4 linked regions of the Saccharomyces cerevisiae S288C genome follow. The main gene of each other region encodes a partner of the protein of the gene in region 4 in a complex. Each region holds a gene or a part of one and is shown on either strand. Other genes may lie near its edges. A codon is read from its position in the direction of its gene.

The links.
Region 1: MRP10 (region 4) and VAR1 share a complex: the UniProt entries of both Saccharomyces cerevisiae proteins name them as parts of the mitochondrial small ribosomal subunit.
Region 2: MRP10 (region 4) and MRP17 share a complex: the UniProt entries of both Saccharomyces cerevisiae proteins name them as parts of the mitochondrial small ribosomal subunit.
Region 3: the proteins of MRP10 (region 4) and SEC27 are in contact, whole or in part, in a crystal structure (PDB 8R8B), measured with the Saccharomyces cerevisiae proteins. Residues at the interface, in NP_010238.1 of Saccharomyces cerevisiae: Lys17 (codon at 1,622), Lys19 (codon at 1,628), Lys20 (codon at 1,631), Pro21 (codon at 1,634); in NP_011378.1 of Saccharomyces cerevisiae: Arg15 (codon at 3,614), Lys17 (codon at 3,608), Tyr33 (codon at 3,560), Arg59 (codon at 3,482), Asp98 (codon at 3,365), Tyr99 (codon at 3,362), Arg101 (codon at 3,356), Asp117 (codon at 3,308), Phe142 (codon at 3,233), Met144 (codon at 3,227), Leu161 (codon at 3,176), Asn188 (codon at 3,095), Asp206 (codon at 3,041), Arg272 (codon at 2,843), Trp274 (codon at 2,837).

The regions. Positions count from the first base shown.
Region 1 is NC_001224.1:47,201-51,619, reverse strand, and holds VAR1 (mitochondrial 37S ribosomal protein VAR1), read right to left. Parts: upstream 2,720-4,419; coding exon 1,523-2,719; downstream 1-1,522. UniProt on the Saccharomyces cerevisiae protein: Component of the mitochondrial ribosome (mitoribosome), a dedicated translation machinery responsible for the synthesis of mitochondrial genome-encoded proteins, including at least some of the essential transmembrane subunits of the mitochondrial respiratory chain.
Region 2 is NC_001143.9:436,597-439,181, reverse strand, and holds MRP17 (mitochondrial 37S ribosomal protein bS6m MRP17), read left to right. Parts: upstream 1-1,689; coding exon 1,690-2,085; downstream 2,086-2,585. Other genes in the region: MET14 (adenylyl-sulfate kinase), read left to right, coding at 1-405; ESCRT-III subunit protein DID4, read right to left, coding at 638-1,276, 1,345-1,404; AUR1 (inositol phosphorylceramide synthase), read right to left, coding at 2,397-2,585. UniProt on the Saccharomyces cerevisiae protein: Component of the mitochondrial ribosome (mitoribosome), a dedicated translation machinery responsible for the synthesis of mitochondrial genome-encoded proteins, including at least some of the essential transmembrane subunits of the mitochondrial respiratory chain.
Region 3 is NC_001139.9:247,577-253,724, reverse strand, and holds SEC27 (coatomer subunit beta'), read right to left. Parts: upstream 3,857-6,148; coding exon 3,839-3,856; intron 3,639-3,838; coding exon 987-3,638; downstream 1-986. Other genes in the region: MRM2 (21S rRNA (uridine2791-2'-O) methyltransferase), read left to right, coding at 1-828; YGL138C (uncharacterized protein), read left to right, coding at 4,194-5,231; FLC3 (putative flavin adenine dinucleotide transporter), read right to left, coding at 5,601-6,148. UniProt on the Saccharomyces cerevisiae protein: The coatomer is a cytosolic protein complex that binds to dilysine motifs and reversibly associates with Golgi non-clathrin-coated vesicles, which further mediate biosynthetic protein transport from the ER, via the Golgi up to the trans Golgi network.
Region 4 is NC_001136.10:370,675-374,246, forward strand, and holds MRP10 (mitochondrial 37S ribosomal protein mS37 MRP10), read left to right. Parts: upstream 1-1,573; coding exon 1,574-1,861; downstream 1,862-3,572. Other genes in the region: type 2A-related serine/threonine-protein phosphatase SIT4, read left to right, coding at 1-32; NPC2 (sterol transporter), read left to right, coding at 566-1,087; FAD1 (FMN adenylyltransferase), read right to left, coding at 2,014-2,934; MTF2 (Mtf2p), read right to left, coding at 3,293-3,572. UniProt on the Saccharomyces cerevisiae protein: Component of the mitochondrial ribosome (mitoribosome), a dedicated translation machinery responsible for the synthesis of mitochondrial genome-encoded proteins, including at least some of the essential transmembrane subunits of the mitochondrial respiratory chain.

The sequences.
Region 1 (4,419 bases), on a different chromosome or scaffold from region 4:
TTATATATATTTTAATAAATATTAATTATTTATAATTATATACAATTAATAATATTTACTTTTTATATATATATTAATTAATATATATTTAATAAAGGATATATATTATTATAATTACTTTATTTGAAATAATTAAATTATAATAAAAAAATATAAAATTATAGTATAAATTGAGTAAATTATATACTTTTTAGTGAATATATATTTTATCAATATTAATATTAATATTAAAATAGGTATGAACCTCGAGTAAATTATTATTATTAATTAATAATAATTTATGATTTATGATTAATAAATAGAGGTAGGAGGGAGGAGTTCCGAACGAAATCCATAACCCCATATGAAGTAATAATTTAATTCCAAATTCAAATTAATTGAAACTTTTTATTTATATTAAAATAAATAAATATATTCTTCGACTATTTATATTAATATTATTATTATTATTATTATTAAAATGAATATTTATAGTTATAGTTATAATTATAATTATAGTTATAGTTATAGTTATAGTTATATAATAGGTGTTAACCTCGCGAGAAGGAGGAGTTCCGGAACCCAGCATGGGGGCCAATTAATTATATAATAAATAATTAATATTATTTATTATAATTATTATTTATAAAAAAAAAAAAATAAGTTTTAAATATATAACTATAGAGAAAAATTATATAATAAATTTTCCTTTATTTAATAAAAAGATTATAATCTTTATATATATTAACCATATATATATTTTTTATATATTATTATTAAATTTATAATTAAATATTATATTTATAAAATTTAAATTAAAATTTAAAATAGTCCGGCCCGCCCCCGCGGGGGGGGGCGGACCCCGAAGGAGTGAGGGACCCCCTCCCTAACCTAATGGGAGGGGGACCGAACCCCGAAGGAGTTTGGTTAAAGAAGATAAAGAATAAAAATTAAGAATATTATTTTATTTATTTTTTTTAATATTATATATTAAAATATAATAGAAAAAAGAGTATTATATATTAATATAAAATATATTAATATAAATAACTAACCGCCCCCGCGGGGGCGGTTTATATAATTTAATAATTAATATATTAATAATAATTATAATAGTCCGGCCCGCCCCCTGCGGGGCGGACCCCGAAGGAGTAATATATATATATATTTTTATTTAATTAACTATCAATAATAATTATTTATAATAATAAAATATAAATAGGATCCAAAAGTAGGATTAATTTATAATTTTATTTGATATTTATTTTTAATTAAATTATTATTATAATAATTATATAAAAAAATTAATTAATTAATATTTTTAATATAAATAAATTATAATTTTATTTTTATATAATTATATGATATTATATTATATTTTATTTATATATAATTATATATATATAAAAAGTAAATATTATTTTATATATTTATATATATATATATATTATTTATTTATTTATTTTATTTATTATATTTATTTTATTTCTCCTTTCGGGGTTCCGGCTCCCGTGGCCGGGCCCCGGAACTATTAATATATATATTAAATAAAGTTTAATTTAACTTTAATATTATATTTACCATTTTTATTAATATTAGAATTATTATATAAATTATGATTAGAAGGGATATAATTTAATTTATAATTATTATTAATATTACTTCATAAATATTTTTTATTATTAAAAGTACCATTTAATAAATTAAGTGTACTAGTTCTACCATTATTATTACTTAATCTACCTTTAAATTTAATAGATCAACCAACTAAATATTTATATATTAAAATATCTATAGGAATATTATCAATAGTTATATTATTATAAATATTATTAATATTACCAATATAATTATTATTATTATTATTATAATTATTATTATTATTAATATTATTATTATTATTTAATAAATTAATTATATTATTATATTTATTATTATTAATATTATTAATATTATTAATATAATTTATAGAAATATTATGATCATTTAATTTAGGCATAATATTATTTAATATACGTTGATAATTAGTTAAGATACCATTATTATATTTATCTATATCATTTAAACTAATATATTTACTAAAAATATCACTATTTAAATAAATATATGATAATTTAATAGGTTCAATAGTTACTTTTTTTTTATAATAATAACTTAAAATATTACATAAATTATTATTTATATTATTATTTATAATATTTATTAATTTATTTATTATATTTATATAATAATTATTATTATTATTATTATTATTATTATTAATATCATTATTATAATAATAAAATTTAATATTTAATTTATTTAAACTATGTTGATTAATAAGTTTACTTATAATAATTTTATTAATATTTATATTATTTAATTTTAAAGTTATTATTTTATATAATAATTTATTAATTAATTTATCATTTATAGTATTTATAATTTCTATATTTTTATTATAATTATAAATTTGTAGATTTCAATTATTTATATTATTTAAATGTTGTAATTTATTATTAATATTCCCCGCGGGACCAATCCGGTGAACAACCGGATTGGCGCCCGCGGGGTTTATATTATTATTATTTAATATTCTTTTTATATTATTTATTTTTTTATTATTTATATCTAATAATATATTCTTTAATAATAATTTCTTATTTATTAATGAATCTAATAGATTATTAATAATAATATTATTATTATTATTAAGTTTATTTATTATTGATAAAATTATATTTAATAATTTTAATTTCATTATTTTTTATTTTTACTTTTTATCTATTATATATACATATTAATATTAATATTAATATAAATAGAAATATATATATATATATAATATGCATCCTTATTATAATATTATTTATTATTATAAATAATAATATATTAGATATTTTTTGCAGTTATTAATAACATTATATTCTTTATAATAATAATATAAATCCCAAATAAAAAAAAATAATTATTATTAATAATTTATATATAAATAATTTATAAAATAAAATATTATAATTTTATATATAAAAATAAAAATATTATTAAAATAAAATATATCATAATATTATTAAAATATATATATAAATATATAAATATATATATATATATATAAATATAAAGAATTATTAATTATTTATAATTTTTAATATATTATTATTAATTAATAAAATAAAATCCCTTCTTAAGAATAAAAAGGGTCGGACCGGACTATTATATAAATAATATTATTAAAATAATAATTATTATTATTATTATTTTTATATATTTTATATTTATTAAAATTAATTAATTAATTAATTATTATTATTTATTTATTTATTTTATTTTTATAGGAATAATATTAAAATTATTATTATATATATGTATTATTACGGATGATGTAGGATTTGAACCTACGTAGCCAATAAAGACTAATGATAGCTCAAATATCACACTTTAAACCACTCAGTCAACCATCCTTAAGAGGAATATAAATATAAATATAAATATTAATATAAATATAAATATTAAATAAACTCCTTTCGGGGTTCCGGCTCCCGTGGCCGGGCCCCGGAACTATAAATATATTATATATATATATTATAAAAATCTTTAATATAATATTATATAATTATTAATATAAGAACTTTTAAACTTTTATTAATTTATTTTCTCCTTCGGGGTTCGGTCCCCCTCCCTAACGGGAGGGGGTCCCTCACTCCTTTCTTAAAATAAATTATTATTAATAATTATTATATAATAAGAATTAATATAATTAATATAATTAATTTTATAAATTATAATATTAAAATAATTATTATTATTATTATATAATTAATCATATATTTTTAATTTATTATATTTATTAATATAATATAAATTATTATTTAATATTTAATATTTAAATAATATAAACCCCGCGGGACCAATCCGGTGAACAACCGGATTGGCGCCCGCGGGGAATATTAATAAATTAAATATTTAAATAATTATAATTAAATATTATTAATGTATATATAAATTTATATATTATATAGATAGATAGATAGATTTATAATATATTTTATTATATTGTTATAATATATTATAATTTATTTATAAACCTAATTATTATATTAATTATATGAAAATTATAAATTATATATATTTTATTAAATATTAATAGTTCCGGGGCCCGGCCACGGGAGCCGGAACCCCGAAAGGAGATGTTCACTAATATTATATTAATATTAATATTAATATTATTAAATGAATAATACAATAAAAATTATATTGTGTTCAATTAAATATATTTAATATATTTATATATAAAGAATTTATTATTTATTAATAAATATTATCATAATATATATATTTCTTATTTATTAATAAATATTTTTATTATTAATAAATAATATATCTTATTATGGTAATTTATATTTATTTATATAAATGTTTATTATAACAATATTTATAAATTATTATTATTAATAATATAAA
Region 2 (2,585 bases), on a different chromosome or scaffold from region 4:
AAGGATTTGGGTTTCTCAGAAAAGGACAGAAATGAAAACATTCGTAGAATTAGCGAAGTTTCTAAGCTATTTGCTGATTCATGTGCTATTTCAATCACCTCATTTATCTCTCCATACAGAGTTGACAGAGATAGAGCTCGTGAACTACATAAGGAGGCTGGTTTGAAGTTCATTGAAATATTTGTTGATGTTCCATTAGAAGTCGCTGAGCAAAGGGACCCTAAGGGTTTATACAAGAAAGCTAGGGAGGGTGTAATCAAGGAGTTTACAGGTATTTCTGCCCCATATGAAGCGCCAAAAGCTCCAGAGCTACATTTGAGAACCGACCAGAAGACGGTTGAAGAATGTGCTACCATTATTTATGAGTACTTAATCAGTGAAAAAATCATCCGTAAGCATTTGTAATTTGACCGATTACTGTACATTTAATGATATATAAAAGATGTATATATATAATATAGAACATATTTATTCGAGGATTCATTCGAAAAAAAAAGAAAACTTTAGTGACGAGATTGAGTAAAGTGAAAAACTGAACAAATTTTCGGAAGCCTTTTGATTCTAAGTGCCTACTTTGATATCAGTAGTTGATGTATTATAGTATAGACCTATTATTCATTAAATATACTCAGAGCGCTCAAGTCTGCTTCTTCAAAGTGTTCAACCGAGCTTGCAAGTCATCGTCAGGATTACCGTGAAATTCTGATCCGGCGCCAATAGGTTCAGGAATCCCCATCGCTGTTTCTGCGATCGGCGCATTAGAAACCAGATTTTGAGGCGTGCTTTGCAACTGTGAATTCAAATCCACTCCAATCTCATCAAGAACTTTATTTACAATTTCGTCAGCTTCTTCGTCTTCATCCACCTCATCACCCATGACGTTATCAATAGCTTCGTCCATGAATTCCTGTCGTTGACCCATCAAATCACTCTGCTTTTCAAACTCCATCGATATCCTTTGCAACTGAGGTAGATTCATTGTTCTGTTCATTCCAGCCAAAAGACCAGTGGCCTCGCTCATAGAACGTGTCATTTGGTCACTACTTCGAACGGCCTGTATTCTCAATGATATCGCCTGAAGTTGAGCTTTCATGTTGTCAAATTTTTGGATGTAATTCCGGGTTCTTACTAAATCTTTTGCTTGAACTTTCGCAGCTGCAACTTGCCCATTCTTTGCCGATTTTTTAATTTCTGATACAAGTTTTTTATCTTGTAGTTCCAATTTTCTCTTTTCTCTTTCAAGCTCCCTCTGAGTCCTTTCTAAAGCCCTTTGATTCTAAAAACTCAAATAATTAACGTTAGTATGTTCACTAAAATAACTGATCCAAATACAGAACAACATACTTTTTTTAACCTCTCTTGCGGAGTGACATTCTTTCCAAATACCCACTCAAACAAACTCATTGTTTAACGTTCTGTGTCCAAGGGTGAAACAATCAGCCTTGAAGTACACTGGTCACAAATACGCTTCAACTGAATACGCATAATTCGAAAGGATGATTTCTGATTAGGAGGAGACGAAGTCCCTTTAATGCTGATTTTATCTATCTTTTCGCAGTTATCATCTAACCCGGAAAAGTTTCAACAAGACTTTAGCCTTTTAATGGAAACTCCCACTAGTTCAGCTTAAACAAAATAGAAAAGCTTCAACAGAGGAAAGAATAACGCAAAACCACCCTTTTCACTAAGATGCTTTATGAGCTGATCGGACTTGTTCGCATAACCAACTCCAATGCGCCAAAGTTGGAAGCAAAAGAATTGTCTTCCACAATCGGGAAACTGATTATTCAAAACAGAGGTGTGGTGAGGGACATTGTACCCATGGGCATAAGGTATCTTCCTAAAATAATGAAGAAAGACCAGGAAAAACATTTTCGAGCATATCACTTTTTAATGCTGTTTGATTCATCAGCTGCGGTACAGTCTGAAATTCTAAGAACTTTAAAGAAAGATCCCCGTGTCATAAGATCATCCATCGTTAAAGTTGATTTAGATAAGCAGCTGGATAGAGCCTCATCGTTACACCGTTCTTTGGGGAAGAAGTCTATTTTAGAATTAGTGAATGAAGATTATCAATCCATTTAGGTATAGCGCACAGGTTTTGACTGGGGACGCTACAAACACATGTAAATACATACATATCTTTCATACACATATAATAAACAAAGCAGGAAGAGCATTCTAAAAGCCTCACTTAACATAGACACCATTAAAAGCCACCCATTTATTTCAAAAATTTATAAAATTCTAAAGATAATCAGTGGTATGTGATTAAATAAACTACATGTATATTATGCTAAACGACAATCCTGACTAAGAAAAAGAAAGAAAAAGATATATATTTATATGTATCTACATAAGACCAACCGTATCCGTAATTGCAGATAAAATACTCATTAAGCCCTCTTTACACCTAGTGACGTTATAGACGTGGCGGACGAACGAGAAACAGAAGTAGATCCATCAAATAACGAAGGGCTTACACTGGGTTCATCAGTCATATTAAGATCAAAGTCAAGTTCCAAGTTGGACAAAGGGACACTTTCGATATCGTTTGAATCTGCAGCCAATGGATCACTCTTTGA
Region 3 (6,148 bases), on a different chromosome or scaffold from region 4:
GTCCAAAATCTGAGGTCTAGAGCCGCATTCAAGCTTATGCAGATTGATGATAAATATCGGCTTTTTAGCAAAAACAGGACCGATCAGAGAATTCTAGATCTTGGGTATGCCCCTGGGGCTTGGTCCCAAGTAGCACGGCAAAGAAGTTCACCTAATTCAATGATACTGGGCGTTGACATTCTCCCTTGTGAACCTCCGCATGGTGTGAACTCTATTCAAGCTAATATATTGGCCAAAAGAACTCATGATCTTATACGGCTCTTTTTTTCTAAGCATTTCCAATTGAACAGACACGATGATTTGCATAAGGACCATGGCTATTTCCAGAACATGCTCGAGGAGGAGCTAACCCATGTGAAAGATACTGAATTGTACCGTGAAATTTTCACCTCTGATGACATTTATGAAACTCCGAATACGAATAGTACCCTAATAGAACGAGAAAAATTCCCAGTTGATGTGATTATAAGTGATATGTATGAACCCTGGCCCCAAACAACCGGTTTTTGGAACAACATTACTAATCAAGCTTATTTTAGGATGGCTAATACATCTGGTGTCAGTATAAGAGACCATTACCAATCTATTGATTTATGTGACGCAGCCTTAGTTACGGCTATAGATTTATTACGGCCATTAGGTTCGTTTGTTTGTAAACTATACACCGGCGAAGAAGAAAACCTATTTAAAAAAAGAATGCAGGCAGTTTTCACTAACGTTCATAAGTTCAAGCCTGACGCTTCTAGAGACGAATCAAAGGAGACCTATTATATCGGATTAAAGAAGAAAAGAAATGTAGATAAACTGGACGTGTTTAGTAATTCATAATATGATTTGTTTGCGCGCAAAGTTTCAAGTCACGTTCATTTTCACACCTATCGCAATAAAAATAAAAAGTGTACATCTGTATATATATATGTTTACCATCCATTAAAGATGTTTTCTCATTCGTTGATTAGTTCTTTATTTGTCTTTCTATGAGGTGGTTAACTCTCTTCTTCCACAGGCTCCGGCACTGCCTCTCCTTGCTCCGGCTGTTGTTCTGATTGTTGTTGCTGGGGAGCTTCCTCTTCTTTTTTTTCGGCTTCAACTGCCTCTGAGTTGGATTCTTTAAACTCGCTGTCCTCAACTTCAGCTTCTTTGTTTTCGTCAGCTTGTTCTGGGGCTGGAGTGGAATCTAAGTCAATGAGTGGTTGGGCATCTCCTGAACTCGAAGAGCCTGGTAAACCTTCGGCCCCACAAACTCTTTCTGATACAGTATTCTTACCGTTGAGTATCAAATTTTCCTTCCATTTTGTAACAATATCGTTGACTGCATCATCTCCTAAACCGTATGTTGATCCAAGGAAAGCGGCTTCGGAAAACCTTTGAGACTTGATTAAAAGATCTTTAGCGCCTTGTATATCGCCAGCGATCCAATATGCATTAAAAGCCAAATTGAATTTACCGGCCCTTTCAGCATCTTTAGCTAAAGTGACCAACCCCTCCTTGTTATTAAAAGATGAGTGCAATAGAAATAAAGATTCTAGATCATGTGCATTTGTGAAAGCTTCAACAGCAAGTTTAAAATTGAACCTTTGTAAGGAAGCATCACCCAAGGCTCTCCATTTCATTTCGGCGCTTTCATCTGTCAACAAATCGCGAGCAAGCGTAAGTTGGCCGACTTTTAAGGCTAGCTCAAATTTTTGATCTTGATCAGGGGAAATATTCAGTGCTTCTTCATAATACTCTTGACCTTCCAGAAATCTAGCAATTTTTGTTAAAGAGTCCTTACCCTCAACATTTGGGAGTACATTTTCAATGGCTTCTTCAATTTCCCCTCTTAAAGTCAATGTTTGGAACTCCAGCACCTCTAGAGATATTTCGTAACCATAAACATGGACCTCTCTGTCAGCTAAATATACTTTATTATCACGTGCTAGATAGCCCAATAGATACATTTCCTTTGTGTAATGGGCTAAATTATAAGTCTTTCCACCTACGAAGTAGTTCAGCCTGTTAGTTGCTGTGGTAAAGATAAAGACATCACCAACCCATTTGCCTGATGTAATGGATTCACTTAGTTCATACAATACGTCAAAAGCCTCATCAACACCTTCTGAATCGTCGATATTGCCATTATTTGCTGCTTCAAGGTAAGCATCCTTGTTGAATAATAATGTGTAACCACTTGCTTCATCACCATTACTATTGGTGTTGACAATCATCACCAGCTCACCGTTATCGGACCAAATGACATCCTTAGCATTAACATCAATTCTTCTAACTAGCGTACCGTTGTCCCAATCGAAGAAATAGACGAAGCCATCAGACTTCACACCCAACAAGGCACCTGAAAATAATCTATCAATAGCAGAATGCATTGGGACAGACCATGATGTGACTTCTTTAAAGTTTTTGTAGTATTTAATTTGCCCAGTTTCATCAATTAAAGCATAACTATTGGAGTCGGGGCCCCAAACAAAGTCTTGACATTTACCGAAGGCTTTGTTTCTCCAAGCCAACGCCGTATAAATAACGTATTCACCATCCCCAACAACTGTAACAAACCTACCATTTGGAGAATGGGCTAAAGATTGAGGGAAAACATCAACGGAACCCAGCTCCTTAGTTTGTAAAGATAATGGTTCATCTTGTTCAACTTCTTCGTTACCTCTTATGACGGCAGTGAAAATGTCTGAAGCTGCGGCATTTTTGCCACCTGACCATACTAGCTTACCGACAGGGTCAAGTGATAAAGTTGGTTCATCATTTCCCAAGGAAAGTACGGTAAACCCATTATCAAACCCGGATGCAATGTAGTTTTTACGTCCTGTTGGATGGGTAGCGATACACCAACTTCTTTCTAAACCAACGTTTAAAGTCTTTTCTACCTTGTAAGTGGAAGAATTCCATATCTTTAAAGTGCCATCTTCGGAACCAGAAATTATAATGGGTAAAGTTGGATGGAAAACAGCAAAAGAAACATTGGACATGTGACCTTCTAGAGTGGCTACACATGACTTCGTTTGGTAATCCCAAATTTTGATGGTTAAGTCGTCCGACGCAGTAATCATATAAGGCTTGTCAGGTAGCGGGTAATAATCAACATAATTCACACCTCTTTCTTGTCCTGTGGTTAACGTGAAATTTGGTGTCGATTGTCCCAATGACCAAACTTTAACGGTTCGGTCCAAACACCCAGATGCAAACGTACTAGGATCCTTTGGATTGAATGCGACGCACATGACAAAGTGTTCGTGACCTTCAAAAGTTTGTTCTAAGGCCCAGTTATTTTCCCAATTCCATAGTTTGACTGTCAAATCATCACTGCCGGATAAAACATAAGGCTTTGTTGGATGTACAGCAATGGAACGGATATAGTCTGGATGAGCTTCGAAATCAACAACTTTTTCACCTGTATTGTAGTTGAAGACTCTGATCCTGAAATCATCACTCCCAACAATTATCCAATTCTTTCTTGCAATGAATTTACCTGCTCTAACAGGAGTTTCCGTAACTTGGATGGATCTAACTTCAACTTGTGTTTCGTAATTCCAAAGCTCAACACGACCAGAGTACAAGGTAGTCAAAACCCATGGCTCAGTAGGATGGAAATCGATACCTTTAACTCGATCGGATCTATTACTAAAAGTTTTCTATCATAAATGTACAGTGTCAAATAAAGGAAATGCCAAGAGCAAATGCATTTATTTCAAAAATCTTCCTGTTAGTAACTAATCTTAATGTTTGCTTTTTGCAGGCTTTGTATTCTTCGCGAACGAGATCATTTCCTAATCATAGGAGTTGTCGGAGCTTGTTCGCAATTGCATTGGCAAAACGCGCTCTGGTAACATACCTTTATATCCAACTTCATCGTGTCCGTATAATTGTTTCGATTGGGTGTCTTAATTCACCATTACAAGCTACCATTTATTGCAGCTTTCTGTTATTTACTCCCAAATCTTACACGACATGTTCCTAATGCCAGCTCGATTCATTCATGAAAAAAAGACAGTTTATTACCCGCTCATTCGTCAGACGCGATTAAAATTTGACGCCGCGTCACAAAATAATCAATTTGATAATAATATATTTGATATTATTGTCCATATTCAATAATTAGTAATGTGGATCTAATGATTTTTATACAGCTCAATACAAAGCAACAAAACTAAAAATAGATTATAATATCCAAAGTGCTCCTCGGATGAATGTACAACTTTTTAGAATTTTTCTTCTTTTTTATAACGTACACCTTATTTAAGAGCACTTTCGTTCAAGGAAAAAGTTCATTTCCTGGACATGATGTGTGTAAGTTCGAAGACCAAAATTTCCAGACAGAGTTCTTCTTAAATGTTCTTAAAGGTGACAAGTTACAGAACTTGAAGCAGGAGTACGAACAATACAAAAAACAAAGTACTTTGTACACAGGCTTTGTAATTGAAAAACAATATGAATACCAGGTAGCGCCCTTGCAAATCAATAATTTTCTTCAAGTGACCTTTTGTAAAGGAGGAAAGCCAATTTGGAATCATATTCTACCCTTTCAAAAGGATTTAGATTGGGCAGAACCACTATGCATTCCAGCCCAGGAGGATGATACTATCTCCCAAAACAGCTCAGTATGTTTCAAGTTTGCAAGGGTGCAGAAATATACACAGCGTAATGTAACCCTTTACTTTCCTAATAAATTTGTTGGATTCGTATTTGTTTGCAATTCTTCAAAGACGCATCCCCCCACTCAGAACAATTTTGAAACTATTCCATTAACGCCTATTATTTCTGATGATATTAGAGATTACAAAATATCTTGGTCAATTAAAGGAAGAATCACCAAGGTGGTACCTTATCTACATTCGTTAAGTATTCCTATGTCCAAATATGAGATGCTCATCCATTCAGATAAGAACATATCAAACGAATTGGAATATAAATCCTTAACTTCGGAGTTTTGGAAGAGCTATAAAAACTTAAGAAAGTTTAAAAACAAAGAAATGTCTTGGATAAACGAAATAAATCCTATGGAGCAATATGATAGCTCTGGGAATGAAAATGTCCCGAATTTTCATGAAAAACTAGACCGTACAATAAATCGGATTGCGCAAAACATAGAAAGGCCTCATGATGCACTAATAAGAGCGATAGCCGCACATAATAGAAACTCTAATAGTGGAAATATTACAAGAAGGAAATATTTGAGGAGGAAGATCTCAAAGATGTTAAAAAATAAGATACCTCTTAAGAACTGAACAACTTACACATTCCTATTCATGAAAAAACATAATTTTATAATAAATTGTTTGTTTGATTCGATTAGTTTATTTAACTTGATTAATTTAAGTATTTATTTTTTTTTAATTTGTTGTTACACGAGGAGTATTAAAAATATGACAAACTGGGATATTACAACATAGAAACAAAGATAACAAAAGCTATCTATTTTAAAAAAATTCATATTAAGCAAACTGGTACAAAGTGTTTTAACGTTATTAATGAAAAAGAAAACTTGGGAAACTTCTGACAAAAACAGAATTTAGAAGGTTAGAAGGAGAATGAGAAAAACCTGTAAAATTAAAAATTTTTATGATAGGAGCAGAACTTTTGTATATCGTAAAGACTCACATAAATCCTTCATCGAAGAATCCAGGGGGTTTCCTCAGTGGTTGTTTATTGTTTCCCAAACTATTTATGCTGTCATCTCGAACATAGTTTTGCGACCTAAATCCTCCGTCCGAACTTGAGGTATCTAAAAGGTCTCCTTCAGTGGAGTCGTGAAATGGATCGGTATTTGAACTTGTATCTTCCTCTTCAAAGGAATTGATCAGTCCATTATGCGCATCAGACTGTGATCTTGTGTGTCCTGGATAAGGTTTAGAGCCTAATGTTGATAGGTTTTCTCGTGAAAGATTCGTTAAGTTGTGAGGAAACGTTTGTTGTTTTGGAGCTTCAACTCTCAGAGCATCTGTGCTTGCGTTTTCATTCTTAGGCCTAGAGAATTTACTTAATATTTTCTCTGAAAACGTAGGCTTGTTATCATCACTTGATGTTACGGTTGTGGGAGTGGTTTCATCCTGTGCTTGCTTTAGCTCATCATTCACACCAGTATCATTTGATTCGTAATCTGAATTGTCGTCATGGTCTTTTGCCACATTGCCCAACGCAAGCA
Region 4 (3,572 bases):
ATAATAATCAAAGAGCCGGCTATTTCTTATAACACGACGGCATGCCCTCCCTAACTCGACGAATAAAAATAATTTTCACAATAAAAAAAAGACTACAAAAATCAGAAACTTTTTCATTACGCCATTTGCTACGATACGATACACAACAAGCACATTCTAAGAGCATTCCATTTACTATGGTCAAAATGACCAAATAAAAAATTAAAAAAAAAAAGAAGGAATGAGAACTAGTAACTACATATTCAACAATTGCAGTTTTCTTTTCCTTTTTGTCCTTGTCCTTTCTTTCCTATTTATATATATATATATATATATATATAATACTACTATGTTATATTACATTATATTATTATCACAATAATTATTACGTTCATCGTGCCGAAACGTCACCTCCCACGGTTTGGATCTATTGAAAGAGGGTGGAATCCCTGATAATAAAAAAACTTTAATCAACACTCGGGAGGGGAAATATAAAAGACTGGCGCTACTTAAAGAGCTGATTCGCCAAGGCAGAAAAGCATAACCATATTAAATCTTCTCCTTCAAAGCTAGCACGCCTTCCAAAATGACCCACAGCTTGAAAGCTCTATTCGCCTTGCTATTTCTTTACACAGCTGCTGTCAATGCGGGTGTGATTGGCATATTCAACGCCCTTCCCCCACCAAACACCAAACCAATTAACGGCGAATCTCCACTTTACCAATGTGACATTCTAGACAAGCAACTTGTGGAAATCAAAGAGGTCAATTTGGACCCTAACCCTCCTGTTCGTGGCGAAAATTTGACTATTTCTGCTAACGGTGAGGTCTTTGAAACTATAGAAGAGGGGGCATATATCGACGTTGAAGTCCGTCTAGGATACATCAGACTGTTATCCCAGACTTTTGATTTGTGTGAAACATTAGAAGATAACGATATCGAAGGCTTATCCTGTCCAATTGAACCGGGTGAATACAACATTAAGAAAATAGTTGAGATCCCAGGCGAGGTTCCACCTGGCAAATATGTTGTTGTAGCAAGAGCTTACACTGAAAAGGATGATCTGATCACTTGCTTAACCGGAGAAGTCATCTTCCCACCAAGGTGATCTGATTCATACAACTCATTGATCCGTGTTTATTTCCCTTCTCGTTCCATGTATTCTTTTCTTTTACCCCATGTTCTCTTCACCCGTTCGAGGCAGGGTTTTTCCTCTTTTTGTTATAACCACCATCTAGTCGAATGTGGTTACTCTTAATATTTTTTTGTCGGCCAATGCTTCAGCGCCTTTGTCAACACCTACTTCTTTTCCATTCCTTTCCTCTAATTAAAAATCATCTATTTAGTGTGTACGTATTAAAAACATGTCATTACATTGATATCTCATTGCAAAATTTCTCCCTTACGCACATCTTTGGTTATTATATATGATGACAGGTTCGTTCTCCGGGTAATGCGGACTTTACATATTAATTCTTTTCCCAGTATTTTAGGCAGAATATAAAAGCTTTGAGGCTTTAAGTGAGACAAAAGTCTTACCATAGCAACACGAGGGCTCGCCGAAACTTCCATCTAAAATAAAGAGTGCCCATTAATGTCCGGAAAACCACCAGTTTATAGATTACCCCCTCTTCCCAGACTAAAAGTGAAGAAACCTATCATTAGGCAAGAAGCGAACAAATGTCTTGTTTTAATGTCAAACTTATTACAATGCTGGTCTTCATATGGTCATATGAGCCCTAAATGTGCTGGCTTAGTAACGGAATTGAAAAGTTGCACTAGTGAAAGTGCCCTCGGCAAAAGAAACAACGTTCAAAAGAGCAATATTAACTATCACGCCGCTAGGCTGTATGATAGGATCAACGGTAAACCCCATGATTAATTTTATATCCAAAAGCAGCAAGAATGAAAACTTGATAATATTAAAGTCATGGCCTTGTATATACAAATTAAATAGTCTCAACGGAAAATATATAAACTTTTAATCTAATAGTAACATCAGCATTTTATTTTCTTTCCTCCGTTAAACCGTACTTAATTCTTGATCCTGCCTGCTCTCTCTAAAGTGTCATCAACCAAATACCAGCCAGGATAGTAATTGTCATGGTATTTGCTGAATCTTTCCTTATCCACCACGGAAATAGGTGACGTGTTTATAGCGGAACTACGTTCGCCTTCTGCGTCCTTGCCAAATGCATGAATGATTTCCCATTCAAAATGCAAGGCTGGATTATTGGAGTCCTTTCTCAAGTGTGGGTTAGGCAATGAGTTGTTAATTCCGCCGATTGATGTGAAACCTTTACCATATAGTCCACAAATTGGCTCATTAGAATACAGTAAGAAACTCCATATATTGGTTAAGTCCCAGTGTAAGAGAGGTTGCAACCTCATAAAATCAGGCCAGTTAGAATCTGTTCTTTGAATAGGCTTTAATGCTTCACCAAATGGGTCTGTGTGTCTAATACCTATCACTATAGCTTCGGTCTCAGGGTATATCTTTATAAAATCTCTAAATGCGTCTGCCATATTGACCGATGCACCAGATTGCCTTTGTGATTCGTATAAGGAAAGGCAATATCGCTCTGAGGTTTCCAGTACAAAATTCTCTAATGTAGGGAAAGTTTCTTCTTGATCAATGAAAACAGTTGGAAGTCTTTGCATGGGGAAGCTTTGAAACTCGAAATCGAATTGGGAATTTTGAGCCTTAATGAAGAAATATTCCCATAAGCAACTCAGATATAACAGTAGTAATACCTGGCAATCTTTTCCTCCGTTGTACGAGAATGATATTTCCCCATTCAGTGGACTCCAACGTACAAAAATTTCACTTAGTAAGTATTTTCTTGTCAACCGTATCGCTTCTTGTGTACTTGCTATTATCTGAGATTTCTGGTCTATGTGTAAGTAAGAGTTTGTTATCTCATAACACATCTCAGCAGCCTTGCTCAACTGCATATTGTGCTCCCCTATTTGTTTATTACTTTTTGCAAATGTTGCCCTCTATACCGAGAAAGTAATATCAGTTTTTTCCACTCTCAGTCAACAAAATCTTTCGAAGATTTTTCGAGGTTCTTTCTATAGACGGATCCTTAGGTTCTTGCTAACCAACGTGTTGTATATGAAACCCATCTCCAAATTTTGAGCTCTTCCCATCCTTTTGTTTCCTCGGACTCAATGAATTTGAAATCTGCCGAACAAGCTAACTAAAAAATAGGAAAATTGGAACAGAAGTTAAATGCGAGCAGGAACGTTTATTAGCGCTTTTAAGTCTAACACATATATATAACACTATTTACAAGGTTTGAATAATTTTCTACCTGTCTCTAGTTAAATTTTTTTTGAGGCTTTTGAGATAATTTTCAACAATTAGTAAGTCATTATTCGTGTCTTTATTCCATAAAACACCTACATTCACTATTTTATTTGCGCTGGACGAAACTTCCTCATCTGCACTGAGCTGTTCTCCTGCTTCAAGAAAGACATCCTCATTTAAACTTCTCATTTCTTTGACAATCTTATCCAATATATCCACGGTTTCAATATTTCCGATGACACCATTAACGCTCATCTCGGTAACCACACGTCTCAAGTAG